Linked DNA regions of Tamandua tetradactyla. The protein of the gene in region 3 binds, or shares a complex with, the protein of the main gene of each other region. Links are inferred from orthologs where the notes say so. Each region holds a gene or a part of one and is shown on either strand. Other genes may lie near its edges.

The links.
Region 1: the proteins of NALCN (region 3) and UNC80 are in contact, whole or in part, in a cryo-EM structure (PDB 7SX3), measured with the Homo sapiens proteins. The link is inferred for Tamandua tetradactyla from reciprocal best matches to the Homo sapiens genes NALCN and UNC80. Residues at the interface, in NP_001337678.1 of Homo sapiens: Asn639, Met643, Val644, Ile646, Lys648, Leu649, Pro650, Phe653, Val655, Pro656, Lys657, Ile658, Arg659, Glu660, Phe662, Met663, Lys664, Gln665, Phe666, Ile667, Arg669, Val711, Ser713, Arg715, Ala716, Arg717, Leu719, Lys722, Glu723, Ala725; in NP_115893.1 of Homo sapiens: Lys1979, Asn2004, Glu2005, Cys2006, Asp2007, Leu2128, Arg2129, Leu2130, Pro2131, Pro2134, Arg2135, Ile2138, Asp2139, Phe2142, Phe2145, Ser2146, Glu2179, Asp2184, Glu2185, Met2187, Leu2188, Asn2191, Asn2194, Ile2198, Leu2199, Glu2202, Ser2226, Leu2227, Ser2228, Gln2231.
Region 2: the proteins of NALCN (region 3) and NALF1 are in contact, whole or in part, in a cryo-EM structure (PDB 7CM3), measured with the Homo sapiens proteins. The link is inferred for Tamandua tetradactyla from reciprocal best matches to the Homo sapiens genes NALCN and NALF1. Residues at the interface, in NP_001337678.1 of Homo sapiens: Cys207, Val209, Asn220, Leu222, Ala223, Ile224, Pro225, Thr227, Tyr237, Pro240, Phe243, Tyr406, Glu409, Phe909, Ala1044, Lys1045, Asn1047, Pro1049, Arg1054, Ile1060, Arg1062, Ile1063, Asn1064, Val1065, Ser1066, Lys1069, Lys1080, Lys1081, Gly1083, Phe1084; in NP_001073865.1 of Homo sapiens: Lys278, Glu281, Phe282, Val285, His287, Lys288, Tyr289, Leu290, Gln291, Glu294, Tyr295, Ser296, Val297, Lys298, Ser299, Tyr308, Trp311, Leu312, Gln315, Leu335, Gln338, Thr339, Cys341, Phe343, Ile344, Leu345, Pro346, Asp347, Asn348, Asp349.
Region 4: the proteins of NALCN (region 3) and UNC79 are in contact, whole or in part, in a cryo-EM structure (PDB 7SX3), measured with the Homo sapiens proteins. The link is inferred for Tamandua tetradactyla from reciprocal best matches to the Homo sapiens genes NALCN and UNC79. Residues at the interface, in NP_001337678.1 of Homo sapiens: Gln349, Met350, Phe351, His352, Glu353, Gly358, Trp359, Gln360, Leu361, Phe712, Ser713, Ile714, Arg717; in NP_001333147.1 of Homo sapiens: Cys861, Gln862, Ile865, Glu968, Pro969, Asp970, Phe1020, Gln1022, Pro2088, Asp2089, Ala2092, Pro2093, Leu2095, Leu2096, Met2099, Leu2139, Pro2141, Asn2142, Gly2143, Ile2144, Gln2147, Leu2148, Ser2151.

What each region holds. Positions count from the first base shown.
Region 1 is NC_135329.1:185,114,245-185,122,347, reverse strand, and holds the start of UNC80 (protein unc-80 homolog), read right to left. Parts: upstream 3,127-8,103; coding exon 3,035-3,126; intron 2,115-3,034; coding exon 2,066-2,114; intron 94-2,065; coding exon 1-93. UniProt on the Homo sapiens protein: Auxiliary subunit of the NALCN sodium channel complex, a voltage-gated ion channel responsible for the resting Na(+) permeability that controls neuronal excitability.
Region 2 is NC_135330.1:177,385,399-177,393,056, forward strand, and holds the start of NALF1 (NALCN channel auxiliary factor 1), read right to left. Parts: upstream 3,492-7,658; 5' UTR 2,773-3,491; coding exon 1,810-2,772; intron 1-1,809. UniProt on the Homo sapiens protein: Auxillary component of the NALCN sodium channel complex, a channel that regulates the resting membrane potential and controls neuronal excitability.
Region 3 is NC_135330.1:170,714,723-170,722,525, reverse strand, and holds the start of NALCN (sodium leak channel NALCN), read left to right. Parts: upstream 1-4,567; 5' UTR 4,568-4,591; coding exon 4,592-4,699; intron 4,700-7,803. UniProt on the Homo sapiens protein: Voltage-gated ion channel responsible for the resting Na(+) permeability that controls neuronal excitability. NALCN channel functions as a multi-protein complex, which consists at least of NALCN, NALF1, UNC79 and UNC80.
Region 4 is NC_135338.1:54,433,945-54,441,902, reverse strand, and holds the start of UNC79 (protein unc-79 homolog), read right to left. Parts: upstream 3,239-7,958; 5' UTR 3,118-3,238; intron 1-3,117. UniProt on the Homo sapiens protein: Auxiliary subunit of the NALCN sodium channel complex, a voltage-gated ion channel responsible for the resting Na(+) permeability that controls neuronal excitability.

The DNA.
Region 1 (8,103 bases), on a different chromosome or scaffold from region 3:
TACCAGCTCCCATCTCGAAATGCTCTGGATGGCTTCGGAAAGGGCTGGAGAGAGGCCATGCAGTTTGTTTTCTACCAACACTCGTTCAAAGGACTGCAGATACAAAAACAAAAACAAAAACAAAACAAAAGCATGTAAAATAAGGAATAAGAGATTTTCATTGGTGGAGAAGTGGACATCAAGGTACTATATACCTCAAAAGATGCAAATCACTAGACAAGTTCTTTAGAGTGTGTTCATATTGTATTTCACTGTATATATCAACATGCAAATCAGTGGGTAGTAATAATTTCCTACTATCGATTTACAGGTTTTGATCTAATGTATATGGCTTGAATTATTAGACAATTTTTGTTTCCTTCAAAATAAGCTTCCTCTGGCAAAAAGTACAATACCACACTTAACTTCATGAGATTTTGAGTATAATATTTCCTAAAATATTGCTGAGTCATCCAAAGGGGTTATCACACCTGCAGATAAAAGTGAAGTTACTAACCTTTTGCTAAAGTGTCTAGAGGGCCAGAATTTATGTCAATATTCAACAGGTGTTAACTAAGATACAACTCTTTTAAAAATCTGATTTTGTGGTCTTTGATTTAACCTGTGTCTTCAACAATGGCCTGTTACAAGACACTCCTTACCTAAAGTCTGGCACCATAGAAGACACTCAATATATCTGTTGAAAGAGGAAGAGGAGAGGGAGAGGTAGGGAAGGAGGGAGGAAAGAAGATAGGAAGGGAGGAATGAAGGAAGGGAGGAAGGAAGGAAATAAAATAAGCAATTTTGCTTTTCTGGTTTGTTGATTCTTCTATCCTGGCCAGAGATAGTCTCGGAGAATGAAACATCAAATTATCAAATTATTCTGACTTGAACTAAATACAACAATAACTTACATTAAAAGTTCCTTATAAGAAAGTTGTATTTGAAAAAATTTCTGAGAAGTCTGAGAGGCAGACAATAAAAAAACTAATTCCTACTTAGAGAGAGAGAGAGAAAGAGAGAGAGGGGGAGAGTTTAACACTCCAGTTAGCTTTCACCATATTTTATGGCCCTACCACATTTCAGAATTTCCACCATATTTTGTGGCTGGCCCTAATGTATTTCAGAACTCCTAACCAGAGACGTATCTATGTAACAATTTGCAAATATGCATGCCAATATCTAAATGTGTAAGTATCTACTTTTAGGCTATAATATATGCAATGTAAAGACCTTTAGATGAGTTCTCAATTTTAATGAAGTCTGTGAAAAGTCCATTTTAAATTTTCTTGTTGATTTCTTGACTAATTTCTCACTGTGAAATGTGAGTTTTCAGGGACATGTTTACTTTGGAACTCAGGACAAGTGCACTCTACTTTGAATAAATATTAATAGCATTATTATCATAATTACTTTTTATTTTCTATTTTCAGGATTGGACAACACATGAAAGACATACAAGTTCAATACTTCATATTACTCTTTTGAGTATTCAAAGGCACTCTTCATATGAATTTTTATTATATAGCAGTCTTAACTTTGTTAGTTAAGGATGTGACTGCTATACTTGCTGGCAAGGTACTCCACTGCCCAGCTCTGTTATCACTCTAAATCCTCTTTTACTACTGCCTCCCTCCCCATCCCATCACTTACTCCCCACTCTAGTTTATGCTCCTTCCCTTTGCACGTCCCTCCCTTCCTTCCTTCAGATCTTTGTCTAGCAGTCACATTACCACGTAGACTTTACCCACACATCCCTTATAAAATGAAATCCTCACCCCATAATGATCCCTAATCTCCTTTCTGGCTTAATATTTCTCCAGAGCTCTTATCACCACCTGGCTTACAACGTATTTCACTTTATGTTTATGGCCTATCCCCACTTCCCCCTGGAATATAAACTCGATGTTTATTTTGATCACTGCTCTGTCCTCTGGACTTAAAAATATGCTTTGCACACAGTGGGAGTTTAATAATAATCGCTGAGTGAATTAATATTCACAAGCAGTATGATTTAACATCATTTTTTAGTTCAAGCTACTACATAGTATCTGAAATTAACCATTAAATGGTAAACATCACATACCACACAGGAGGCTTCATATTGCTTCCCCAGTTTAGGCCTCAAAAATGCACTGAAAAATTAAGAGATATTTGTTATAAATACAGGTAAAATAGTTTTAAGAAATCCCTGACTTTTTTTCATTGACTAGGTGTGGTGCAATGAGACTCAAATTTCATGTTTTCCCATAGCTTGTTAATGAGTAGATGTTGAACGGCTGAGAACATTTGCTTTTTCACATGTAATTATATATATGAAATAACATGCAAATCCCTATGGTTTTCTGTATCCACACTTATACTGAAGACTTTGCCTAATCAGATTCAAAATTTCCAGTGGTTAGAAGTGATACATTACACATGTGTACAGTCATATTTAAAACTGAAAAATGAACACGACTTATGGGTCATGATTTCCAGAATCTAATTTCCTATCTGATAAATCTCTAAATCACAACATTAATAAAGGAAAAATTGTTTCCTATTTATTGGAATAGATTTCAAACCTTTGCAAGGAAAAAAAATTATCTCAGGGGCTCTAACCAGGAAGGTTATACTGGCTGAATCCGAGCAAAAATGGTTAACAAGTGGGCATAGCAGATATTTGCCAAACAGAAGCTGGAAAAACAACAGGTCACTGGGCTGGAATTAGAACAGGAGATGGAGGGGGAATTGGACGCCGGAGCACAGGCAGTCATAATTATCTTCCTTAGTTCCCTCCCCCTCTTCCTAGGCTCTCTGCCCTCCCACCCCCTAAATGATGTGTATATTTATTCGACAACTGCCAATCTGCTTATCTTCAAACTTCATTGAAATATTTTTAAAATGCGTGTTTTTCTGAGGGTCCGAGGGCTTGTTTTCCAGCTCCAGAGAGGGAGCTGCAGGCTGTGATGCGGCCTCAGCAGCGGCGGCAGCGGCGGCGGCGGCGACCCAGGCGGCCCCAGGAGCGCCCCCAACCCAGGGCGGCCCGTGGCCCGCTCTCTGCGCCCCTCACCTGGTTTGCCGCCACAGGAAGGTCTGGATAGGCAAGGGGATGCCGCGGCCGCTGTCCTGCTCCTGGCCCTCGGAGCTCTTCCTCTTCACCATGATGGTGGCTCCCGGGAGTCCTATTGCAGGACCCAGAGCTGGCTCCGCGCTAGCCGCCGCCGCCTCCTCCTCCTCCTCCCGGTGCTCCCCCCAACTCTCATCCCCTCCTTCCCTGAGGCAGAGCGGACTATCTCCGCCCTGATCCCCCGTCCCTCTCCCCTTCCCCCGCACCTCCCCGTGCGTGGAACATGGCTGCGGGAGGAGGGGAGGGCTGGAGGAGCCGCGGAGCGGGGAGGGAGGCACTCGGAGGAGCTGTCCGCCTCGCCGCCCCCGCTCCCGCTCCTTGCTTTCAGCACCTCCCACTGTGGACAGCGGCCTTCGCCGGGCAGCCCCGGCCCAAAGGCGAGCCCGGGGTAGGTTCAGCAGCCGCGGGATGACCGAGGGGGTCAACGCTCTGCATCGCACGCTGATCCCGGTCCCCTGTACGGCCTCTTCAGCCGCCAGGATTAGGCTTCACCCTTCCGGGCTGCACCCCGGGACAGTACCCTGTCCTGTTTCCCAACCTCAGCATCAGAAGAACTGTCACGGTCTGGGGAGGAGGAGCTTTGGGGAACTGCAGAGCAGTCACTAACCCTGGCATCATTCGCACCTCTAGCAAGATTAGGAGTCCACTTTCCGGGTTTAGCAGGAAGAGTGCACGAAATTTTTTAAAGTGTAAACGATGAAATGAAGCAAGACTGGCAAGATAGAGAAACTTGAAAGTTCTCTGATGTGAGAATTTACTTTTTAATGATAGCCTCAAGAAATTGACCTTGTTTTGTCAAGGTGGTAATGAAAAGTTCCAAACTAAGCGATTGTAGTATCAGTGAAATGCACCTTGAGGAAGGACATTCAAATAGCATTTTGAGAAAATGTGTTTTACTACTGTGCATAAATATATTTCAGTGATCCTGTTTACCCTAGTGATATGGGTTATTTTCCCTCAGTTGTCATAGTAAAAATTCCTATAGAGTTTATAGTTGGCTAACTGTCAGCTGTATTATCCAATAGTAAAACATGGAGAAGGCTGGGGTGAAGCCATCTGAATAGAAAACCATGGTTGTAGACCCAACTACTCAAAAGCAAACAAACAAAACATAATCACACTCCTTTTTGAGCAAAGATATTGGTATAACCTATGAAACAAAGAATCAAATTCCATTTATACTTTCTGTATGACTTACCAAATGTGGATCTATACCATATAGTAAGACTTTTATGGCATATATTGGTACTTCAGCCAGAAATAAATTCTTCACTTACTTTTAAGAAATCATCCTTTAATACTAATATTAAAATATTGGTCTTGAAACAAAGAAAAATAGATTCTAAGCATGGTTTATTTAATTTATATTTATTGAGCCTATTTATATACCAAGCACTACACTATACTGACTCTTGCTTATAATGAACTCACAGTATTGAAGAGAAGACAACGATATAAAGAAAAGAGTACCATGGGAGAGATGACTGCAGGTTCAGTTACAGAAAAAGAGAAAATGCAGAAAAGATGGTCAGGGACCAGACGGAGAAAGGTTTAGAATGACAGATAAAGAGGTTTGGATGCACAGAAGCATGGAAGTTAAAAACTTCATTTGCATTTAAGTGTGATTGATGCGACAGCAATGTAAAAGTTGTTTGAAACAGGCAAGAGTATAGATGAGAACCCCAGTCTGGAGATTACAGGAAAATTCCATGAGATCCTGAACCAAAGCCATGATAACAGAGATAGAGATAAGATGAGTTTGAAAGACACTGCAGATATACAATATGATTTGATGGTCAAATGGGCATGCGGAAAGAGAATTAACAGCAAAGTGGCTAAGAGCCTGGGTCTTGAGCCATACAGTTTTGAATCCAGCCCTACTACTTACTAGATAAAATAACCTGGTAAAGTTAAAAACTCTGAGGCAAACCTCCCTAATAATAGCACCTTTCCCATAGAGATGTGAGGATTAAATTTCAATACATGTAAAGAAATTAAGAGAGTCCCTGATCTATAGTAAGCCTTCAATAAATATCAACGTAAGATCCAAGTTTTCTGTTTTAAGCAACTCAGTAAATGGTGATCTCATTCAAAGAGAGAAAAAGTTAACAGAGAAAATCATGCTGTTTTTTATGTTTGTGTACAGGAGCATTAAGAAATTTTCCTTGCGTACCTACTGGAAATCGCAACGGACATCATTAAAAGGCAGTTAGAAATGTAGACAGTGAGTTCAGAACAGTTAACTAGGTAAAATACATGGGTTTTGTGGTTGATATTCAATAAAAAAAGTAGAGAACTCATGAAAGCAGATAAAATAATGCAGATGAATATATGGAAATAGAAAAGAAAGGACGCAAGTTTTGGAGTACAGGAAACACCAACTTTTAGTGTCACAAAAGATGCTGATGATAGGTGTGATGGATTGGGTTTGGACCCAGTTTGGACATGTTCTCATGCTCTTGGTTTTGTTCCACATTCTGGTGGGTGTGAACCCATGGTAAACAAGATCTCTTTCAAGATGTTGTTTCAGTTAAGGTATGGTCCAACTGAATCAGGTTGGGCTTTAATCTGGGTTACTGAAGCCATTTATAAACAAAGTGAAAGTCAGATGGAGAAAAAGCTGCAGGGAAGAGCCAGAAGTGGAAGTCAAGAGACCTGAGAAGGCAAAGAGAAGACACCTTGTACACTGCCATGTGACAGAAAAGCCAAGGACTAAGGATTGTTGGCAGAAATCCCTTTGTTTGGGAGATTGTTGGGAGAAAGCATCACCTTGCTGAGGGCTCAATTTGGGACTTCTCCTAACTCAATACAACAAATTGCCACTGTTCAAGGCAACCACTGTATGGCTTTTTTTTTAGCAGCTGGGAAACTAAAACAGTAGACAACAAATAGCACAGGATACTGGTATAGGAAGAATTCTAAGATGGCCCTCAAGATTCTCATCCCCTGATATATACATCTTCTCCCAGTTATTCAATCAAATACTAATCTAGAAGCTGCTGTGAAAAAATTTTACAGATGTTATTAAATTCCTGAATCAACTGACTTTAAGTTTTATCTTTGGTTGGACTGACCTAATCGAATGAGCCCTAGATCTGGCTCTAGAGGCTAGAGATAGAAGTAATCAGAAAAATTTGAAGTTGCAGCAGATGTTCCCTTGCTGGCCTTTAAGAAATGAAAGCTGCCATGAAATCAACAGCTGCAGAACTGAATCTGGCCAACAATCTGAATGAGCTTGGAAGAGGACACCAAACCTCAGATAGGACTGCTGCCCCAGCTGACACCTTGATTTCAGCTTTGTGAAAACTGAAGCTGTTTTCACAGACTCTTAACCCAAAGAAACTGTGAGAAAATAACTTTGCTTTAAACAACTAAATCTGTGATATTTTTTTACACAGGAATAAATAACCAAAACACACACACCAAAAAGAAGAGATCAGAGAGGTCTAAGAAGCCAAGAGGGGGGGGAAAAAAAAAGAAAGATTCAGGATGGAAATAATGATCACATTAAAGTTCAAGTAAGAAAAAGACTGGAAAAAAGCTCATTGCATCAACTCTTAGGAGTTGATCAATTTAACAAAGAGTAGTTTCATTTCAGTTATGAGCATAGAAATAATATCTAGAAGACTGAAGAATAAGTGGAGAGTGGAGTTGGAAACCCAGCAAATGTTGATTAAAAATCAGTCAATGTTGTCTGAAAATAAAAGAAAGGGAAATACAAGGAGCAAGAGCAGATGCCATATAAGGACAATTTTTTTTTTAAATAAAAGACTTGAACATATTTATGGGTCAGAATCAAAGAAGTACTGAAGAAGTAAATATTGAGGACATTTGATAAAGGGGATAATTAATGAACAAGATTCTGGAAATTATATCTGGTGTAACAGGTGAACAGGTCATTTTTGAGTGAAAGACTGACTCCTCTTTTTCTGCATGGGAGATTAAAAGGAAGAATGGTAAAAGCTAGGTCTGTAAGGAAAACAGAAGGATGAGAATTTTGAGAGTTCAGGCTTAATGGCCTGCTTAAGTTGTGAAGTAATTGATAAAGTAATTTTCTTAATGTGATACTTGATGGGAGTGGAATAAAGTTAATTAAGAGCAGATAATGTTTATTGATCACTTTATGGTTCCAAGATCTGTTTTAAATGCAACTGATCTTCACACAAAAACATGTTATCACCATTTAAAAAGAAAACCAAGACAGGGAAAGATTGCAAAACCTGCCTGATGTTATATAGTTAAGTGAGGAAGGAACTGTGAAGTTCAATTTCAAAGTTCCTGCCCAACCTTCTGCTATAACATTGAGTATATTAGTGAGAGTTTGGAAGAATTGCCATGAGTTCCATAAATGGAAGTTGCTCAAGCACAAATGAAAGAATTGCTCTGCCGAGGGTAGAAAATGAAGAAGATGCTACATCATGATGCTTCCCATTCCAGAAAACCCTTTAGGCAACGAATCATCTGGGAGCAAAAGACATCTGTAATAAACACTGTCAAAATCAGTTTTTAAACAAACATTTTAGTGGAGAATCAAGATTACCATGCGTGCCGATGTGAAACTATTATGTACCCCCCAAAAGCCATGTTATAATCCTGATGCAATTTTGTGGGGCCAGACCTATTTTTTAGGTCTGTTATTAAATTCCTGAATCAACTGACTTTAAGTTTTATCTTTGGTTGGACTGACCTAATCGAATGAGCCCTAGATCTGGCTTTATTTTTTATTTATATAGTTTCTTATATAAAAGTTATAGAAACTTTTATTGTATTGTTTCCATGGAGATGTGACAAATCCAGTTGCGGATGTGACATTTTGGCTAGATTACTTCCATGGAGATTGACACACCCAATTGTGGGTGTGGTCTTTTGATTAGATGGAGATGTTACTCTACCCATTCAAGGAGGGTCTTGATTTTACCAGTGTTTTTTAAAAGGAGAACATTTTGGGGAAAATCCACATGCAGATGCTTGGAGAATAGTGGCTTCAGAGTCAAAAGTGCTGACAGAGCCAA
Region 2 (7,658 bases), about 6.7 Mb from region 3:
ACATATAGTTTCAGTCTATATGGAAACACAGATTACCCTTTAAAATACTTAAAGTAGGCAAATTTAAATTATTAAAAATTGCTATGAGGTTTACATTCAGGAAGACAAGCAAATTCAAATTCTCACAAGGTACCATTCTTAAGCCTCAGATATAAATACACTGAAATCTCTGCAACCTTTTTATGAGTAGTAAAATTTTCAGGCACAGTATTTTCCTTATCTTTATGCTTTCAATGCAACACATCTTGTCACAATAATATTATTCAGTAAATGCACTAGTCATTCATTTTTAATTTCTACCATTAAGATAAATTCTAATCTGACATGAATTATAGTGATATGGGAAAAATGCATTAAGTTTAAGATCCATTTATCAAATGAAGTAGCATTCTAAATTAATGTTATAACCACAGCATTACTACTTTCAAAGAGGATCTCTACATCTCCTTTTAAAGAATGTTGACAAAACAGGGTTAACTTGAGATAAGCATAATTATCAAATGCACAACTAATCAACCCAAAGTAAAAACTGGCCCTTGAACTATTTTAATTTTTAATAAATATCCATTAGCTCAGTTATCTTGTCAAAATATCACAAGATCCTTTTATCCATCCTGCCCTTGATTGCACTTTCCTAGCAAAAGCAAGTCAGGCAAAGAGGCAGAGTTGCTCCATTTGTGTGAGGAGTTGGGAAAGTAGGGAAGAAAAAAGGAGAGAGAGAGTGTTGTGTAGTACATATTTTGAAAACTATTCTACTTTTATGATATTTCTTATTGTAAATATTAGAAACATTTAGGCACATTTAGGCTTACTCTGATTCTGTCTTCGTTGCTCCCCTACTAAAGGTCACTGCAGTATCTTGAGCTTCACCAGAGCTCCTGGGCAATCGCATTTCAGCACCACGAACAGCGGCTTTCCCCTTAAAGCTAGCAGGGATAGTGGCATTGGCCATTTCTTAGGAAACCTGCATACACTTCTCCCTTGCCAATCAGTAAGAATTTTATTCTCAAGTATATCCAACAGAGGGTGACTAAAATGCAAGTCAGTGAAGAGTTTGGTAAATTTTCATTCTTAACATGGAGGCTTTGTCATTTGCAAATTCTAGTGAGAATCTGAAAATTCAAGCTAATTACATAAGATGCCTGATAAATAAACTGGCACTGATAAACAATCACTAAGTTCCTAATTACACCTCTCCACTAGTAGTTATTCTCAGGTCAATAATTATAGAAAATTTCAAGGAAAAAAAAAGAAAATTAAAGAGACTAATAAACTCAGGTAGGCCCCCAGATTTTCCAAACAAGTAGAACTACCCCTGTAAAACAATAGAATGCTTTTTCCCCCTCCATGAACAGCTACAAACACTTCCTGACCCTCATTTCAACTTAAGGATGTCACTATAACAGAGTTCATGTGTCCAAATCCATTTGTCAGACCATACAGGCCTGTCTGTCTTCTAACTTTAACTGTCGCCATTAGTATGCATTCCTATCGCTGTCCTCCTGACGAGTGCAAATCCCATATTTAAAAACAAAAAAGAAGGAAACAGACTTAAAGTCTATTTAGCCTGGTTTTAAGAGAAAGTTATAGTAGCAGCTTTATTATTTCAGAAGACTGGGGTCTTCTCCGATCTTCCAGGGGTTACCGAGAAAAGAAATCAATCCACCAGGTCCCTGACAACAAGCAGAAGTTTAAGATCTTAAAATCACGGTAGCAACTGAAGTAACAAAACCAGAGCCAAAACCGAGCAAGCAAAGATAGAAAAGAGCAGGAAGGGGGTGGGGTGGGGTGGCGATCCACTGTTCCTACCTTACAGTCCTCAGGACACGATTTCACCGAGTACTCCTCCGACTGTAAATACTTATGGAGCACACTCTCAAACTCTTCGTATTTCTCCTGAGCGTGGTGGTCGTAGTCTTGGTAAGCCTCGACGCACTGCCGGCAGGCGGTCATCTCGCCGTCCTCCTTGAGCACCACATCCAGACTGCAGTTCAAAGTGTTGGGACTGGACAACCCCGAAAACAACTCCCAAAGTGTGTAGGAATTACAAAACGAAAGGTAAAAATCCGACAAGTTCCAGAGTGGAGTTGGAGGCTTCCCTCTCACCTGCTGCTCCTCCCCCAAGGCAGCCACCCCCCGACTCCAGTTCCTGGCGCACACAGCGTCCGCATCTTCAACCGTGAAGCACTGGCCCGAAGAGGCGCCCTGGGGGTAACAAGTCTCCAGGCGCCACACGGGTCTGGCAGAGTTTCCTAGAAAAAGAGCCTTGCTCCGGTTGTTTTTGCCTCGGTTGCCCTTGCCGCCGCCGCCGCCGCCGCCGCCGCCACCGTCGCCGGGGGAGGGGGGCAGGGTGGGGGACGAGGAGGCGGAGAGGAGTCTGTGTGCCTGGGCGGCGGGCGAGGACTCCCCCATGCTCGCCAGGAGCGCCGGCCAGGAGGGCTCCTGCTGCCGCTGCCTCTGCTGCTGCTGCTGCTGCTGCCGCTGCCTCTGCTGCTGCTGTTGCTGCTGCTGCCGTTGCTGCTGCTGCTGTTGCTGCTGCTGATGATGCTGCTGCTGCTGCTCCTTGTCCCGGGTCCGAGTCAATTTGGCCTCGGCGCAGAACCACAAGTGATCAGAGAGCAGGACTGTGAAAAACAAGAGAGATGCCAGAGACAGTCGCCATTTCTGAGCCCTCTCTGAATCGGTGAACGGTTTCTCGTTCTCCCGGGGTGCTGCCAACCAAATTTTTAAGCCGTCGTCATACTGCCGACACATCCAAGCACCCCTGGTCATATTTTGGGAACGCACAGCCCTGGCCGACTCCACCGTGAGGGCTCCTGTGCCGGTGTCACCACAATATGCATTGACTTAAAGGGTTTAATTTCCTTATCCCCTCCTCCCGTTTCTTCTCTCTCTCTCTCTCTCTCTCTCTCTCTCCCTCTCTCTCTCTCTCCCTCTCACACTCTCTCCCTCTCTTTTTTTTCTCTCTTCTTTTGCCTACAGAAATATCACCAGGCTTTGAAGGAAAATCTGACTTGCTTCCGACCTAATCATCAGCAGACCCCATTCTCTGTAGAGGGAGAAACAATAATGCAGAGAGAGAGGGAGAGAGAGAGAGAGAGAGAGGGAGAGAGAGAGAGAATGAGAGAAGAGGCGGAGGGGGCTGGTGCTGGTGGCCGGTGGTGAGGCTGAGTGCGGGAGGTGATGGTGGAGGTGGCGGGGTGGCTGGCGCTGCTCCTCTCACCCAGGCATGGTCAGAGCGCGGGTCCCCATGGTCCGGCTGAGGGCAGCCCGCTCTCCCCCGCCAGGGGCATGCCGCGTCTTCGCTGCCCACTGACGGCGACCGGAGCGCCTCCCCTCCTCCTCCTCGCCTCCTCCTCCTCCTCCTCTTCTTCTCCTCCTCTTCCTCCTCCTTCTTTTCCTTCTTCTTTTTCTTCTCCTCCTCCTCCTCCTACTTCTCTCTCTCTCTCCCCTAGTCCAGAGCCCGGGCAGCAGCCGCCGGCAAGGCTCTCCCTCCCCCCCACCCCCCACCCCGCGCTCTAACTGCTGCTGCCGCCGCCGCCGCCGCCGCCGCCGCCGCTGCCGCAGGTCTGCCGGCCGCCGCCGCCGCCTCCCGGGCTCCCGCTGCTGACGCCGCTGCTGGGCTGCTGCGGCGGCCGCCGCGCGCCGTCTCCCCCGGACCTCGGGGCCGAATCGCCTGGGCTGGGTCTCTCGAGAATCACAGTCATCTTCAGTCCCCGGGCTAAGTTGCCGCCATCTTCGTCCTGAAGAAACACTTTTTTGGGGGGCGGGGGGGTGGGGAGCGCTGGCTTTTGCGTCATCTCCTCCCGCTCCGAGATCGCTCCATCCTGGCGCATTGGCACCAGATTCGGCCCAAGGAGGAGGGCGAAGGAGGAGGAGGTGGGGGCCGACTTTGGGGAGTGTCCCCCAACCTGGGCACCCTGGGTGCAGGTTCCTGCTCTTTCTCTTTCTGCCTCCCCCTACCTCCCCCCCCCTTTTTTTTTTCTTTTCTCACGGAAAAAAAAAGTCAGCAGGTGGACTGTATGATTGGGGTTGCGGTTTAATTTCTTCAGCATCTCACCACTCCCGCTCCTCTCCACCCCTGGGAAAAGTATGAGTTTCGGGCAGGTGTGTAGGGGTCGCTGGTGGGGGGGGGGGGGGGCGGGGCAGGGCCTGTGTTTTGCCGTCTTAGTGAATGGTCTACTTCAATTTAAAGGGTGGGAATCAGGGGAGTAAACACTAGCTAGAGGAGAGACCTGGCGACATTTGGTCTCTTTGAATGTGCCTCGGGACTCCTGGAGATCAATTGCTAACGGTGTTAACTTATTTTATTGCAAGGAAAGGACGATATATATGTGCGTGTATGTGTGTGTAGCCATATGCATCTATTACAGTTACGTATCTGTCTATGTTTTCACATTCGAAAGTAGAAGACTCATAGTCTTTGGGAAAATCACGAAAACCTCCACTACCTCGAGTCACTTCCTTGCACTGCTCTTCCAGTTCTGGGTCCTAACCTCAGGGGATTCCTCCTTCGATTTGGAGCGCCCCAAGCTCTTGCGAAACCACCCAACCCACCCCCAAGTCGACTGTCTGCATCCCAGCCCCCACCGAGGTGGGTTTTTCTGTTCCCCAGGACTTCCGCAACACTGAGTTTGGCTGCCTGGGAGTCAGTCACCGCAGTCCGGGTCTCTGGTGCCCCTTAGCGTTGGCTCTGGGCTTACCGAGAAGCAAAGCAACCAACAAGCTTGGAAAAATCTGGGGTCCCCTCGATCCCGGCGCGTACCGGCTATTGTTGAAAGCAAACTGCAACATCATTTTAATCAAAAACCCTACCCACTCTGGCCCCCATCCCCCACCTTCACCGGCAGCCGGCCGAGCTGGAATGTTGGGCTGGTGCCGGGAGTTTTCTGTACTGGCTCCAGAAGGAGCGCTGCGCTGTCAAGAGCTCTCTCTGGTGGCTGCTTATGACCTGCAGTTTGCTGCACGGGGCACATGGCTGTGTCGATCTTTCCCGGCTACTAATGATCCTCATACACTGCCCGGGTGCACATTCAGACCCGCAGTGCTACAGTGCCCTCGTTTTAGAAACCAAAGGGGTGCATCGCCCCTATTCACCTTTCTTTGTCAGGGACTGCGGGTGTTGGAATGGAGAAAAACAGCATTTTTTTTTTTAAATGGGAAGTGGCAAAATACAATATCAGGATACAACCAACCAGTCTCTTCTGTGGCGTAACAGGATACATCCTAATTTTATTGTTAATCCTCTTTTCCTAAAAACTATATGTATTAAACTGGGCCAGGAAAGATGGGTCCAGTTTGGTGGCTGTTCTATAAGTATGTCACAGCAATGTTTCAGAGTATCTTCGCATAACTATCCGATTCTGGTACATTGGCTTTAATTGTGTTGAAGTTCATTGCTTTTATAAAAGCTCTAGAAACTACCAGATATACTGTCTATGGAAAGATACCAGATATACTTTCTATGGCGAGTTTACTCTTACCTTCAAGCATCTTTAAATCAGCAAAAAAGTGAAAGTAAAACGTGAGAAACTTATTGAAAGCTATGTATCTGAACCCTGCTTAAACTGAGAAGATAATCTTGGAATTTTATCTTTTGATTATTTAAATTACTTTGATATTGAATAATATGTATTTTTGGACGACGATTTGTATAAAGATATCCTTTGGGCAAGTTGCTTAAGATCTTGGAAGATATTTTATTTTGTTTTACACCCTCTCCTCATGATATTCTCTTAAATTTAAAACTTCAGTCCTCTTCAGTCAAATCAAATTGAAATATGATCTTCATCTGAAAGACCACATGTAGACAAAATGAGTAGAAAGAGTGGCGTCTTCTATTGTGTAAACAATTGGTTTTGGAAGATAATGTCAGAAATTTACACTTCTATTTCTCAATAAAAAAAGATTTTGCAGAACATAAAAGTAAAAACACATTGTTTTATAAATTCTGAAATCATTCTCTCCCCCTTTTGTTTGGAAGTTTGGCTTTCTGATGTCACACAGATTAAGTCCAAGAGTCCTATGCTTTTCTTTTTATAAGTTCAGGTTTGGAACTTTTTAAAAATTAAACCTTTTTTTTTTTCACTTGTTCAAGTTTCTCTATCTCTGTCTCTCTCTCTCTTCTTTCTCTTATTCGCCTTCATCTTTGCCTTTCTTCACGCTGTATCTTACTAACTGAAAGATGCTGCCTAGAAAGATTTATATTTCTCTTTCTCTCCTGCATGCAAGATAGAAACCTCAGAAAACCTATGGCTGGGAAACCCAAAGGGTGTCCCTGGGCTGGGGAAACTTCTGCTAAAAGCTTAGGGCAGATTTAGACCTACTTTCAGGACTCAGGGATCATGTGAGAGAGACTGGCTTTTAAACTTGAAAAAAAACAGAGCCCTTCTCTTACTCCAGAAGGAGGAAGGAGAGCAAAATGATGATTGTAAATGTTCCAAGTCTGAAATATCTAAATGGACGTCCACTCCCCAAATTTGTACCACGACCCTTGCCCCCACCCGACCCTTCTTCCTTTTGGACTCCATCTACTTCTATACCTTTCATTTGGACTTTCAGCTTAGGTGACACCTAATTTTGTTCATTTATTAGCAGAACTATAATTAACAGAACTATAATTGGTTAAATATAAACACTTTAGGTTTTCTTTAAAAAAGAAAGTGGCAGACAGTTCTGCTGAAATGGAATATCATGTTGTATTTAAAATATATATCCAGTCTTTCTTTTCCTGTGGCCAGTATACCTTTTATTTTTTATTAATACTAACTACATTCCCTCAACCTCACTCCAGATTTATTTTCAGCTTTAAATTTTGTGTCCTCTGGCCTGGAGTTGTGCTCTCTGTTGAGTGATCCTGCTGTTGTCTCATAGATTTGTACAAGTCCCAAAGCTGTCTTCTGAAGCTAAGGACCAACAGAGCTGTTGGGCTCAAACTATTTACAAGTTCTCTGAGAGGATTACTCATCCTCTCCACCACTGAAATTTCCAGTTGGATAATTCTTTGTTGTAGGGGCTCTCCTTTACTTTGCAGCTTGTTTAGAAGTATCCCTAGGCTCTCCTCACTGGTTAACAGTAACACATTTCTCTCAAGTTCTGACAACCAAACATGTCTCCAGGCATTTCCAAATATTTTTTGGGGGCAAAATCATCCCCTGTTGAGAACTACTCAATGTCTCAAAGTAGAAGTTCCCTAATTTATATATCCATGGGGGAATTTCTGGCATCAGGGATGAGGCTATATCTTCTTTGTATATTCAAGGAACTAAATGCAGAACTCTTCATCTAGAATAAGCACCAAGTCATACATTTCTTGTTATAGAATATAACATATTTATAGTACCATAGTGTTTTCTCTCTTTTAATGCAATTTTATTGAGATATATTCACACACCATATACACCATTCAAAGTATACAATCAATGGTTCAGAGCATCATCTTATGGTTGTGGATTGTACACATTTTCATTACTGCAAATAAATAAATGAAAATTAAAAGAACACCCAAAAAATCAAAATGCTTTATCCCCCCATTATATGTACATATATAATATGTATATATATTTGTCTTAATATTATTACTCATCTACCCATACACTGAACAAAGGGAGCATCAGTCACATGACAAAAGCTATTATTGTTATACAATTTTTATCCAA
Region 3 (7,803 bases):
GTATTTATTTACAGTTGGGATTTTCTGTGCGTGCGTATTTATTAACAGAGAAAGATGTTCACAGAATGCTGCTGCATGAAAATCCTGGCCACAGAACAGTGCGCAGGCATCCATTTAAAAATACATATGTGCAAAGACATAAAAGCAAAAGTCAGGGATGAGGAGTGAGGGATATTTAACTTTCTTTACCCTTAATTACCTTCTCAAAGTGTGACAGGGAAACAACACAATGAGCTAAATGCCCATTGTTGAGTATATGTGTATGCGTGTATGCATGTATTTGTGTGTATGTATCATGAATAGGATGGCAGATAAATAATTTCACTTGTATTCATAACAGCCCCACAATTCGTGTATGTAAATGATCAAAAGAGTAGTTGTTGATGTTGATGTGTTGACAATTCTAATAACATAGAATAATTAAAAATAAATTACTGACTTCTGTCTTCTCTAAGGGCTTCTTAGAATAAAATAAGTATTGTGAATCTACTAAAGTGGTAGTTTCTCCTAGTCACATGCTAATTCCTAAGCATTAAATCTTTTTGTTATAACAAACAAATCAAACACTCAGACAAAAATTCTTCATGAGTTAAGTTAGGGAGTTTGGAAAACCTGATATCAGATTGGTAGTACAGAGGCCACAATTGGAATGAAGGATTTGAAGCAGAAGAGAATAGGTTGGAGGATGGCAAATAATGATATGTTTAACCAATTCAAGTGGATCATGTGGATGTAAGTATGAAAGAAAGTGAAGTAAAAACCAGTGGAACTAGTGTCCTGGAGTCATAAGGCTAAATAAAACAGGTAATCTATAGACTCCAAGAATTGTTGTTTACTGGTATATCTCCAGTGCCTAGCATAATACGTGATACCATAGTGAATGCTTAATAATCACTGTGTGAATGAATGAATAAGTGAAAAACAAGTGGGCCACCGGAGAGATAGTGTCAGTGTATTGGGAAGTTGATTTTTTATATATGTCCTTTAACAGCCATATTAAAATGGCTCATGTTTCTGGCAGTCCAGATGTGAGGTATCATGACCAAAAAAGACCCTAGTAAGGAATAAATTAAAAGAAGCCATTCGACATACATGGAATGAATAAGAAGTTATCTTTGAGAATAGGTATAAAGGGTGTTTTTGCCATCCTTCTGACTGCATGTGGGGGTGGGTGGAGGGGCAAAAAATTATGATGCAATAAGGATCTGGGAATTTATAGAAGAGCATAAAGCAGAAGGATATCTGATTTTATGATGCTGAGTTTTAAGGATGATAGTGTTGATATGGCCTGTATCTGAAGGAGAAGCAGCACAGATATGTGACTCATTAATAGTAGCTGGACACCAGCTGATAGTAATGGAAACTTTAAGAACATATGATGGCATAAATATAGAGGATAGGCACAAGAGACAGCAGGAAAAGGACATGCTGTAAACTATAATTTAAAAGATAGAATGAGACCATTCAAAAGACTTGAATGTGTACCCAGGAGAGTTACAAAGAAAGGAAATTACCTGTAGAATTACAAGCACCTCACAGTTAAACAAAACTGAATATTGTAGCTTTTGTTTTGTCAAGAAAGAGCTTAATGATCTAGAGAAAATATATGCCAATAGAAATAAAATTGCTATCATAGAATACAAAATCTTAAAAGAGAGCAATGAACCAAAGTTTATTTTCTCCCCAAGTTGCTATAAGCCATTTCCAAGTGAAAGATTTATCAATAACCATATTGTAACCGTGCAGCCTCTATCTCACTATTGAATTATTTAAATACCAATTTCTTTTAATACATGTGAAAAAGCTGTTAAAAGCTGTATTTTTCAAATTTAGTGCACTGCCTTGTGAAGGATACTTCTATAAACAGAAAAGATATATTGGCTTTTTCATACATAATAGTGATAAGACTAGGATAACACAGAGCAATTTCCCTTCAAAATAATGAGCTTACCTGGGAGACTTAGCTATCCTTACCGGTCCTTATCAGGGGAAAAATAGATTTGCTGCAGTCAATTGTGTTGATTCAACATGTGTGAATTTTTAAAACTACACTTCTGTGTGCAAAGGAAAAGTATTAAAACAAACCACCTCACATCTATTTGGATTCTTTAAATGTTTGTAACAAATTTATTTTGCTACTTGAATGCTTTATATGAATTATATATAACTTAATCATTCAAGATTTCTCCAATTTAGGAGATAATTGCTGAGTTTTTTTTATATATATATAAATTAACCAAGTTCCTTTGAAGTTTGTAAACATAGTGTCTTTGACACTTTTTGATTTGGTAGCACCTTTGCTGCAGATAAAATGAGGGTAAAAGTGGGTGAAAAATAATATCATTCATTTATACTTGTACTGACTTGGTTATATATTAAATATAACCAAACTGAGGACGTTTAAAAGAAATTCTGCGTGTGTCCTTCTCTAGGTAAGCAAATCAATAAACGAAATCATTTTTGCTTCAGGTGGTATATTCATAATAAAAGGTACATCAAATGCATGTGTTAAGGTGACACTTTGTACATCAGAAATTTTCCTGACCATAAATGATTGCCAGATCATTGCAAATAAAGGGCCATCTTGAAGTCTCTACTCCTGGTGAAGGAAGTATTGTGTCTAGGCCTCTAAAATTTTCTCCTCTAATCCTTAAACAACATTGTGAAATTTATTTTCTGTTCTCCACTGTTATAAGATTTCTTTAAAAAATTTACATCCAGTCTTTGGATACAGGGAAGACTGTTGAAGAGGCATCCCAAATTGGCACCACCAGATTTTTACCACAGTAAATCAGAGAACAAGGATCATTTGAATATTTTGCTTATATTTACATATCGGTGTCAAAAGTTGCTAACTCCAATTATGTAAAATAAAATTAATTACTGCAGCTCACTGCAAAGCCCATATTCAAACCCAATATTCAGAGCCTGACAGACTTCAAATACCAAGCATATCTGAAAGCCAATAGCTTGATTTCATTGGGAATTGGAGGGCCAGGCAGCCCACATGGATTAAGAAAAACACAGAAACAGAGGAGGACACTCAAACGTGGGGAGACAGATTCAAAACAGCTTTGCCTTGAGCTTCTGCATTGTCATTTTTTCCCAGTGAAAATTGTGATTACGCACATTTATGCATCCTGCACCCTCCTATACCCATGTGAACACATTCTTGCTTTTTTGTGTTCTGGTAGGTACTGACTGGCATTCTTGTTCTCAGTTAGTTTTCTTCCTCTAGTTCCTTGAAGCAGCAGAGAACAAGTCTAGCTTCTTGGTGTTAGAATTGCTGTTTTCCCAGCAGTGCGTTTCCACAACTGTATGCTAGCTGGAAAGCCCTGTCCGTTTCCTTCCCTGCCTTTAGAAATTCTTCCAGTCAGTCCTCAGAATCAGCGTGGTTGACTATAACCAGCTTAGACTTTGTTGTAAGACAGGGCTTGTTTTAAATTTCAAGTTTGCTTAAGTGGGCTTGGTCAAGTTGTGGCCTGCTTTGAGGCTGGGATTTCTTGTGCATCCATACAAAGGAGAAATATTGCCTCTCCAAGGACTGTTACAAAGAATAAATAAAAGATCATTGCTAAGTGGCCAAAACCTAGTTTATATTAAAAAATCGTTTCTCTCCTTCCTTTAAGTCTTAATTCAGGTGTTAATCAAGTGAGAAGTCTCACTGTGGACTCGGGTAATAAGGTACCACCCCCGCAGCTTTTATAATGTCTCTTCTCACATTAAACTGCACTCATTTGCTATGGATGTCCTGAAGGACATATAACAGGCCCTCCTTCAATGGCTACTGAGTTCTGGAAGGTAGTGATGATGGTCACAGGAAGGTGAAAGATGTAGCAGGATGCATATTATACAAAATTGTGAAACTTAAACGACAAGCGGGTGTCTCAACTCCCTCTGCAAAGTAATTTGATAAGGGATTTACTTCAGAGTAGCTAGAAGTTTCGGAATAATTATAGCATTCAATAAAAAAAAGTGGAGGAGGCTAAAGTGGAGGAGGCTATGCCCCATTCTCTCTGGACCCTTTACTCTTGGCAAGGGTGAAATTGAGAGATTAATTTGGGAATACCATCAGAATAGAGAGATGTCTATGAGCGCCATATTAAATTAACTCAGGAGAAAACCCTGGGGGAGCTATATGTATTTCATCTGGATTAGACAGTACACTGGCACAGTCCACATTTAAATGGATATAGCTCCTGGTATATGTACACATACCTCAGCATTTCCTAATAACACATGTGCTCTAAGAGGCAAGCATATTTTACTCTAGCTGGGCTTGACCAGTGCTGTCTTAACTGGGATCTACCAGCAGGTGCACAGGTGGCCTGTTGGATTGGGAAGGAAAAAAAATGAAAGCTTGTGTGAATATTAATTTTTACCACATTCTTTTAAAATTTTGATTTGCATGTGTTTTATTATATGCAATATAGTAGAACATGTATATATACTCTATAAATGCATAAACATGTATAGGGGACTCCAACTTTGTTTGTTGATAAGGGTAAAGATGGTTCGAATGACTAATACAGCTTTCTCTTTCCTTTCCTAGACTGTTGTTTTGTACTTACTAGCCTAAGCTAACTTCAGCATGCTCAAAAGGAAGCAGAGCTCAAGGGTGGAAGCCCAGCCAGTTACAGACTTTGGTCCTGATGAATCTCTCTCAGACAACGCTGACATACTCTGGATTAACAAGCCAGTAAGCTTCTTTTTTGAAGTATAGAGGAGCACATGCTCATATAAGGAAAATTTGATTCATATAATTCACAGATCATGTACCCTTGGCTTTGAAATGTCTCTTTGAGCTGTGGTAGAGTAGGATGAGATTTGGGGTCTGGGGGCTGAGGAAAATTCAAATGAAATTGAGGTGTCACTGTGAGTTACTCATATGGGAACATATGTGAGGCACTCTGGCTCCCCCCTCCCCCATCTGCACACCCTGTCCCCAGGATCGCATGCCAGATAGAGAATATACCACACCTCAGGCTGGTCCAAAGCTGGAGGTCAAGGTGAGTAGCCTGTTCTTCACAAACTTTCTTTACTCATAGCTTGCAACCTGCATAAAAATCTGTGAGAAAATAATCAAAAGTGTGGAATTTAAGGTCTCCTTCTGAGGTGCAGGTTTGACTACAAATAAAGGTTAATGAATTAGCGAATAGTGTCAATGAAGAACTTTGTGACTTTCTCTGATGAGAAACTGGGTGAGAACTTGAGGGGAGGATCTGCTATAACAGGCATCGTTGTAGACTAGACAGTATAACAACCAGAACTAAGCTGAAATGGCACATTAATGGGTCTTGGAAACTCGGCTCTAAATACAAAGTAGGAGCAACTTAATTATTAAACTCATAGTGGAGGCTGAGGTAATGAAATGACAGAACTGCTACCATTCTCAGTCTCTTTCCCCAACTATGAGAAATGCTTCATCTCCCTGCCCTTTCTGAATCTTTCATCCTCCAATCTTTCTTCTAGATTACTTCCCCACTTGACTGAGATTTCCTTCTACAACCCAGATTTTCTCACATTACCTTCTGCTGTACAATCAGTGAAACATCCCTATTGCTACATTGTAACATTAAATGTGTTAGTATTGCATTCAAGACTCTTTTTCTCTGGCTCTCAGCTGTCCGGTGACTGCCCCTTTCCCTTATCTGTACAGTCTATGCTTGAGTTTCCTCAGGTGACTTCTTATTCCTCCAAGTTCTCAAGCTGTTTGCATTTGCTCCTTTTGCTCATGCTGTTCCCTTGCCTGGAAAGCCCTTTCCAAGCTCCTCTGATGAGTGAAATCCTCTTCATCCAATAAGGCCTTCTCAGATGTTACCACAGCCTCAAGTCTCTTTGAAAGCCTCCTCACTTCACCCTCCTCACCACAGATAAAATGAACTTTTTTCCTCTGCAGCAATTATTCTATTTTATATTTGCCTATATGTAATATATATATATATATATATATATACATATATATTAAAAAAAATATATACACACACACATATACATACACGTATTTTTTATTAGACTATGAAATAGTAATGGGTCAGAACTGTGTTGTTTCCATTTCTATGTCCTCAGAGTCCCACATAATTTCTGACACATAGTATAGGCCTTCATTTATAGAAAATTGAAAGATATAGAGAATAAAGGGATCAGAGCCATCAGAAAATAGGACCTTCCACAAATCCTTTCTTAATAACTTCATCTCCAATCCTCACTTGTCCTGTAATGACCGACTGGTTCCATGTTTGGTTAAATCCTCACATGGAGCACTATTCTCTGCAGTTTCCCTTTCTGGAAGCCCCAAATTTTCCAGAACATCAATTTTTGGTTTCTTTATACCCAAAAGTTCAGTTGTTAGGTTATCCCTTTTTTGTCACATTTCACTAAAAACTGCAAGGAGAAACCAGGCTTCATTTTCTACATTCAGTTTAGAAATCTCCTCAGGCAAGCATCCCAGATCATTGAATTCAAATTCTCCCTTCCATCCAGCACCAGCATTTAATTTTGCCAGATTCTCTGCCACCTTAAAACAAGGGTCACCCTCCTTCCAATCTGCAGTGACACATTCCATATTTCTGTCGAAGGCTTCAATGGAAGTATCTTTAGAGTTCATATTTCTACCAACTATCTCTTCAAAGCAATCTAGACTTTCTCTATCAACCCCCTCATGATTCTTCCAGAATCCCTCCCTTATCCATTTAAAAAGTTGTTCCAACATGTTTGGTATTTGCAAACACAGCAGCACCCCACTCCTCTGGTATCAAAATCTGTTTTAGTTTGCTAATGCTTCTAGAATGCAATACACTGGAAATCGGCTGGCTTTTATAAAGGGGATTTATTTAGTTACAAACTTACAATTCTTCAGAGGAAAGGCAACTAGCTTTCCACTGGGTTTCTCTGTCACATGGAAAGGCATATGGCAATGTCTGCTGGTCTTCCCTCCCAGCTTCTGGGTTCAAATGGCTTTCCCCAAGGCAATTCCTTTCTGCATCTCCCAATGTCTGGGTCTAAGCTCTCTTCTTACCACTCTGTTTTTAGCTCCCAGCTAATTAAATCAAATTTCACTCATTGTGAAAGGCACTCCCCTTAGCCGACCACAGATGTAATTAGCTATAGATGAATTTCACATCCTGATGATTTAAGTCCATTGCGGCAGAGCAACTGGACACCATCCCCTCACCAGTTTGGCACATGAACCTCAATATTACCCCATATATATAGCTTTCTGAGAACTTCTGAAGAAAATTGTATTCTAGCTGTAGCCTATGAGTCACTTACTAAAACATTAATGCTTAATTTTTAATTCTTCACATTTTAAAACTGGATATTATAGAGAAGAATTCACCTTTGAAGTTCATTCCTATAATTAGATCCATTATGTTGGAAACCCTCATGGTGCTAAATTCATACACTGATTTTTTATTTAGAATAAAGAAAAACATTTTTAATTGTGAAATATAACAAATATGCAGAAAAGTTTTAACTTTCAAAGCACAGTTTAACAAGTAGTTATAGGCAAATTTCAAATTATGTTATGTTCCACAATTTCAGGTATTTCCTTCTAGCAGTTCTAATATACTAGACTAAAAATACATATCAATGTAATGTGTCAGTAGCCATAATCTAGTCAGTTACACCTCCTCCATCTCATTTGATCCTTCTCCCATTGTTCAGGTATATTGGGGCAGTGACCATTCTAACTTCTTCATGTTAAAAAGGGCACACTGATGTTTTTTGAAGCTCTTTCATACTGCATAAAAAACATCAACTCTTAAAATCGATTAAATTACCAGTGACTTACTTGGTAAG
Region 4 (7,958 bases), on a different chromosome or scaffold from region 3:
AGTAATGGAAGGTGGTGAGGGTACAACAACACTGTGAATGTGATTAATCCCACTGAATGGAATGCTTGGGAGTGGTTGAGATGGGAAAGTTTATATTGTACATATAGTCCCACAATTTAAAATGAAAGAAAGGAGAAAAGGAAGGAAGGGCAACAAAAGAGACAATGACAAGTTGAAGGCAAATACATGATCTTGGATGGGCTCTAAAAAGGGAGGTGAGAAGTCTCAAAAGGATTATCAGGATGTCTGAAAAAATTAGAATATGCACTGTTAGCTTCATATCAGTGCTAAATTGCTTCACCTTGATAACTGCACTTAAAGTGGATACATAAGTAAATATTCTTGTTCTTAGGAAACATATATGGCAGTATTAAGTGTTCGAGTACCATGATGTATACAACCTACCCTCAAATGTTCGAAAAATGGACTGATATTCAGACAGGCAGATAGATGAATAGATAGACAGATGGATCATCAGACCAATGAGTAGACTGAATGATAGGGCAAATGTGGAAAAATATTAAAACTGGTGGATGTGGTATCTGGGGGTAGGGGTATGTTGGAGTTCTCTGTTTGGGATTTGTATTATTTTTGCACCTGTCCCATAAGTTTGAAAGTATTTCAAAATTAAAAGTATAAAACTGAATGTCAAAAGAAGAAAAAAAATTGAATGGAAGCTTGAAAAATAAAATGCAAAAGTAACCATTTCATTTGGTGCACAAAATCTAACTGTCAATAATCTTGGACCTCAACTACATAGATCATCTTATTTGGCTTAAACTAATTGCATAAATAAAATGAAGATACACAAATATGACTCTCTATAGATTACATTCATCAAAAATAAAAGTGATTGTAACTTGGTCCAAGATACAGAACAATAGTTTTAAATTCTAAATTTGTAGGGAATTAAAGGATTAAAAAAAACAGCTGGGAGTAGAGAAAAAGAAGAAAAAAATGCATTTGATTCAGCCCCAGACGTTGCATTACTTAGTGTTTTCTTCCTTCCACTCTCGAAATATAATTTATGTGTCTGTGTGGGTATGTGTCCTTCATTATAGGCTCTCAACCTGCTCTGATACTCCATACACAATTAACTGCTGAGTAGGAGATAGCACTAACCCTCTAGGAACTATACGCTGTCCACAAGATCTCATGTACAGTTCAACTTTCTAAAAGGTAGCAAATCTTTTGGGCTAAGCACTGCCTTTCTTCCTCTAATTTCAAAGAGAGCTGAAACTATACCATGGACTCATAATCAATGCCAGAATTCTCGATGGCCAAACAAGATTTTTGCTAAAAGTATGCCTTGAGTATGATAAATAGTAGTACTAAAAAGAAGCAGTATAGCTAAATTGTTGAGAGCAAGTGTTATGGATTAGGCCTACCAGGGTTGAATCCTGGTTCCAACACTTATGAGATATGTAACTTTGAGAAAGTTAATCATTCTGTACCTTCGTTTCATAAAAGTGGCTATAATAAAGAGCTTATAGAATTATTACAAGGGACTAAATGAGATGACTCATGGAAAGTGCTTAGAACAATACTTGAAATATACTAATCACTTCATAATATAATAATCATATAATAATGATATCATTAGTAGTAGTTGTTGAATTTTTCTCCCTTTGAAAATGGACTCTGCTCAAATGCATAAAATCTTTTCCGATAGGCCACTGAAACATACTACCTTAATACCAGTTTCATCATTAAAATACTATCACCCATGACCATATTCCAATGACCTATTGCTTAAGAAAATGGAATCTTCATCTTGCAAACATGACTTCAGTATTCTAAATTTCTTAACTCTTTGGCACAATAACTAAGCCTAGGCAGTAAGATTCGAAGTGCCAACTAGGATGCCATGGTTTCTTTGCAAATGGAATTCATAATCTGCTTCCCAACGAAGTATCCCTCACTTTGAAAACTTTCAGAATTTGTAATAAAGGAAAACCTTTGGGGAAGACTGACCTTAAACATGAAAGAAGAATTCAAGAGAACAGAATTAGATGCCTTGGTTTATAAACTTTTCTGATTATAATGACAAAAATTGGATTCATTTTTCCAATGCAATTTGAAAGGAAGGGAATATCCTTTCACAGGGTCCTACATTTACTTCGCAAGTTTGAAATTTGTAAATCTGATTGCCAGAATCCTTTTAACAGAAATGGACAAAGAGAATTCTAAAGAAGAAAAGAAAGTTTAAAGAATAACAAGAAAACTGAGGCAGCAGATCCGAAAAGGCTTGACCATGTGCAGCTTCTTTCTACAAAGCCTTCAGCCTGACTGTGGCAAAGTTTTAAACCACTGGAAAAATCCAGCCCCACTACAATCATTCATTTCCTAATAATACTTGCTTTATGAACTTTTTTGCTGTGATATTGCTAAAAGAAAGAGTAGAGTTCAAGTTAACTTATATGTTTCCAAAATCAGATTTGGAGTAAGAAGATCATGGTAATGCAGGAGACCAAGACTTAGGATTTTATGGAAAGTGAAGTGTCCTTTTTTCTTCAACGTTATTTCCCAAGCAATTGAGACTTCAGATTCATCGCCTGCTCGTTTTTCCTAATGAGAAGTGTGAAGCAAATAGGGCCCTCTTCTCTCTCTACCTTATGGTAAAAGCAGACAATATCAAAAGAGCTCCCATGCTTTTGTTTCTTTATCCTCTAAAGAGTTACACAGAATAAAAATAATTGTTATTGCCATACATTATACTTCAAGAAATAGGAAATACAAGTGATGAGCCTAAAGTGCTAATTCTGATTTTCCTGAAGACCAAAGGTATTTCTTACTCTTAGTTTTAAACCATGAAGGTTCTCCTTTGAACCACATTCTATTTTAGTGTCAAACTTATCAATTTATCATTTTATAAATCTCTTGAAAATTTGTTCAACTGAGAAAAACAGGCAATAGCCATGCAACCCATTATTTTCAATCAAGCCTATGATCCAATATGCTATATACACCCAGAGAATTGAGTCCAGACTCTTCTGGCAGAGCACTAGAAAACCTAAGGCCCTTAAAAACTTTCAATTCAATACAAATTTAGGCCCCAATAAGTTTAGCAGTACTACCTAATAATTCTTTCAAAGTAGAGGATATTTTAAAGCTTACCTTAACAAGGTCTGAGAAAAGTATTTCAGAGTGTTTGCAATATCTGTTCCTGAAGGGACAGGATAAATGTTGTGAAGAACCCGGTTATGATATTCTTGCAAGTACCGGATCTTAGAAGCAACTAGATAAAAGCAAAATAAAAAAAAAAGGAGAATTATCTTGTAATATGTATTAGGCATACAGTTATTCTTTTTCAATGATCAAATATTGGATTTTAATGCTTATTTTAAGGAAAATATGTAAATTTTACTAGAATTCCATGATAGAAACAATTACAAAAGACTTTAAATTTTTTATAAGTGTATTCAGCCCACAAAATTATTTTGAGTTATATGGGTTAATATCCTCTTCACACAGTATCCATTACTTTTTTATCACTCAAGAAAGCAGTGCTCTAAATCATTTTATTATCATCCCCACATTAACTTATTATTAGCAAAGTATTAATAGATAAAAATCTCTGCCAGCAGAGAATTATACTTAATATTGGTTAACTAAAACTGAAGAAGAAATTTCCAAGATCTTTCAGCAACAGACTAAAAATACTATTTAAAAAAATGAGGCCATTGCACAATGGCATCAGTTGAAAGCAGATTTTTAACTCAATAAATGATCATGAAAGTGTTTAGTTGATGCTTAAATTGTGAAAGTATGTTAAGAGTAGAATAACTTGGCTAATATTAAGTAAGAATACAATGATTGTGTGGATAATAAAAATACAAAAAATGAATGTCACATTTTTCTGCCAAAGAATTTCTTAAAATAGGAAACTTCCTAAGAGCCTTCTGAGCTCAGATGCTCAGATCATCACAAGATTCAGGAGGGACTAAACAGACTTATTTACCCTCCTAGACCTACCTGTAGTCACCAGCATTGTCCACATTCCTGACCTGACTTTTGACCTGGCTGTGGTGAATGGCCCAGTTCTAGTCATTCCTCTTTGCAAATCCCAAGGAGCCATGATGATCAACGTCTCTCTGGTCTCCTCTTCCACAGAGTTCTCAACACTGTCCACTTGTCCTTTCAATCTTTAAGGCTACCAAGAGAGCCTTTTAGGTAGTATGGCTCACTGTCAGCAGTTAACAGAAGATATATCAAGTCCTGGAGAAGCAAGGCCTTGTTGTTCCCAATGGAAATAAGCTTCTGGATGAATTCTAACTGAAATGCTGCTTTAAGCAACTTAAAGTCAAAATGCTTTTGATAGGTGTGGGACGTAGAATCACAAAATGATGAGATATCAGAACTGGGAGGATCTTAGAGACCTTTTCCCACAACCACTTCTTTGTTTGTTTGTTTGTTTTTGCATGGGCAGGCACTGGGAACCAAACCCAGACCTCTGGCATGGCAGGTGAGAATTCTGCCACTGAGTCACCATTGCACCGTCCACCACTTCATTTTAAAGATGGGGAAAACGAGGCACACAGGTAATCAGCAGCAGAACTAGGTCTAGAACTTAGATCCCCTGACACCCAGTTCGGAGTTCTCAGAACACAATTCTGAAATGAGTTTAATATGGAGATAATGGAGTTTTATTCCATGACATCAAAGCAGTGTGGCAATTTTCAGCTGTGATTAGGTTAATCATTGATTCTAAATCCCATATACACCATATAGCAAATTTGCCTTTTCTCTCTTTTACTATTTCCATAATATGTTTTGCAGTTTCCCCAAAAATTACATTTAGATTGCAGATAATAATACCTTGGGTTTGTATGGTCCACCAGCTCTGAAGAAAGCAACAAGTTTATATCCATTGTCTCAAATAACCCTAAAAGTGTTTGGTTGTAAATAAATTTTTTCCCAAGATAAGGTATAAATAGGTAATGCTTTAAAATGTTTTTAAGTATGTCATCTATAAAAATCCATTCTCATCTCAGTGTTTTTAATCAGCTACTAATGGTTTTTTTAAATCACATTATAAGGAACACCCATCTTATTACATAGATCCCAGTTTCAAACATCTGAGACATGTGCTTTCTGCCCATCCACCTTCACAGTAATGCTTTCTTACTGTAACTTTTCTCAGGCTTCATTATTCAGTAGATTTCTGCAGAGTATTTCAGAAATACCAATGGAAATGCAATGTGTGGAAAATAAGCTCAAGTGAGGAGAAAATTAACACATCCCATAACTCACTGACTTGCTCATAGCTCAAGAGGTAGGAAATTGTCACTACACAACAAAAATAGCAAGCATTCAAAAGGTTGTATAATGAATGAATGAATGAATAAATGAGTGTTCTCTTTATGGTTCATTTTGTTAAATTCAACAATAGCTCCTTTCAATATATCCAAACATCAAGAGAAAGCACAGGCTACAGTCACTTCCTTCTTTGAAATCTTTTAATATTTTTTTTACAAACTTCACATTATATTGTCTTTGCTTGTTTACTTACCTCTTCATTTTTCTATACCAGACTGTAAATTTCTTGAAGGCAGAAATTGCATCTTACTCATGTCTCTATTCCAAGCTTAACAAACTGCCTGGGGCTTAGTGGGTGCTCAGTATACTTGTAGGATAAATGAGTAAATGAATTAATGCTTAAATAATAGTAGTTATCACTTGGTTTTTGTTTTTGTACATACACATATCTGTCCCCAACGCCAAATTGTGGGATCTTTTAATCCTTACCAGTGCCAGACACCAGTAGGTGCTCTAAAAATAATTAACGAATGAAGATGGGAAAAAAAGGAAGAAAGAAAGTGGGGTGAGAGAAGAAGAAAGAAAGTGGTAAGTAATTGTGAAAGACAATTTATAGAACAGGTAGGAAGAAATGTTCACGCTCCTCTGAGCATTGATGAATGCAGCTAAATGGAAGTCATGATTTAACTTTGCTGTTTTCAACTCTGACAATAGCCAGAAAGGGCCTGACAAAGAGTACTTTGTAATTGTACTGAGGATGTGACTATAATTCATTTGCATTTTAATCTGGTGCACAAGAGATGCTTATTTCCTGGTTAATAAGCCCACATGGCACCCTCATGGCAGCACAGAGTTCTTATCGTTTGCACCAAACAACCATAATAGCAGAATATTGCCGCAGAAACTCAGTTAACTGGGCAGGATGGAGATAAACAAATGATCTCTAACCCCAATTGACCCTAAAGCTACATTTCTTTAGAAAACTTCTTCCACTCTCTTCAATCACTATTTCACTACTTCTCCAGGCTCTTCAAACTCCCCCATGCCCACCTCCTTCCTTGTACCTTAAGAAAACAGAAGCCATCATATAGGCATTTTTATAAAAGGATGAATAAGAGTTAAGAGTATGAGATCTGAAATCAAACAGTTTTGGACGAAAGTCTTGGTTCTATCTCCACTTACGTTTTTCTCATCTCTAAAAAGGGGATAATCATAATATAAGCTTCAGGGTTGGATTTAAATGTCATTACCTCAGAGGGGTCTTTGCTGACTTCTCAGTCATAAACTGATCCCCTAGCCCCCACCTAGCCCTCAATGTCAATTTTTCCTCTGACATTTCTTTTATATTAATTAGCACAATTTGTAATTATATATTTATTTGGGTGGATGCTTACTATCTCTCCCAAGTAGACAGTGAGCTCCAATAATCATGTCTTTTGTTCACACTGTATATACCCAGTGTCTGGTGAGTACTAAATTTGTTGAGTTCATCCTATTAAAGACAAAAGGAAAAGAGGCAGGGAGGAAGAGAATGGTTTTAAGCAGTGATTAAAACTTTGGTTCTTTGTAAAAGTAGCCAAGAATGCAAAAGGTTAACACTGATAAAAATGAAGAATAAAAAAGGGGTTCTAAGACAGTGATGACTCTTATCCAGATTAGACAGAAGTAAAATCTTTGTTTCCACTATTTCACTATCCATCCTACCCCCACCATCTTTTAGAAGCTTTGGTACATTTTGAAAGAGCCACAAAAACAAAATTCTCATTCATTTCAGGCATAGATATAAAACTACTTTAGTAAAATTGGGATCATATAGTACATAAGTTTTAAATTTTTTCTTGAAATTTTAAGCATTTTCCTGCCACTCAATATTTTAACAGCAACCTATTCCTCTCTTTAAAAATGTATTTATGTATGCTTAATATAATAAATGTAAAAGCTTTTGTAAGCACAATGCTTTTGTGCTTACAAATAAATAAAAATCATCTAAAGACCTATTACTCAGAAACGACCATAATTAACATTTTGGTGTATTATCCTTGTTTTAGGTTATTTTTCACTATTCTAATTCATGCTGCAAAGAGTTTCCTTTCAAGGATGTGCAAACATAGTTAATTATTTCCTTAGAATAAATTTTTAGCTGAGGAATTGCTGAGTCAAACAGGAAATATTCATTTTAAGGCTTTTGATAACAATTGAGAAATCGCCATGTGGAATTTCTCTTTACACACCAGTATTGTACATATCATTAAATGTGAATAGTAACAATATATATTGAATGCCTACTAAGTACCAGGTGCTCTATATACATTACTTTTAATCCTCACAATAACTTCGCCAGGTGGTTATTATCATTGTCAATTACAGTTGAATAAACCAAAACGCGAAAGAGTAAATGACATACCCAAAGGCGCAAAGCTAGTAAGTGATATTTTAACTGGCTATAAACCAGGCTTTTCCACCAAGCTACATTTATATAGTTATGCCATTAAATGTTAATACTTTCCCCATTTGTCATTGGTTTCCAATAATTCATTAAGCAACATCATAATAACCAGATGAAATATTGAACTAAATCTGTTTTATTGTTTTTTGTGTTTTTTTGGAAATCACAAGTCAAATGCATGGTTAATTCACTAGCCCCACCCTTTTTCCTTGAAAACTTTAATCCCTTAATCCTTCAAGGCCCATTTGGAGAG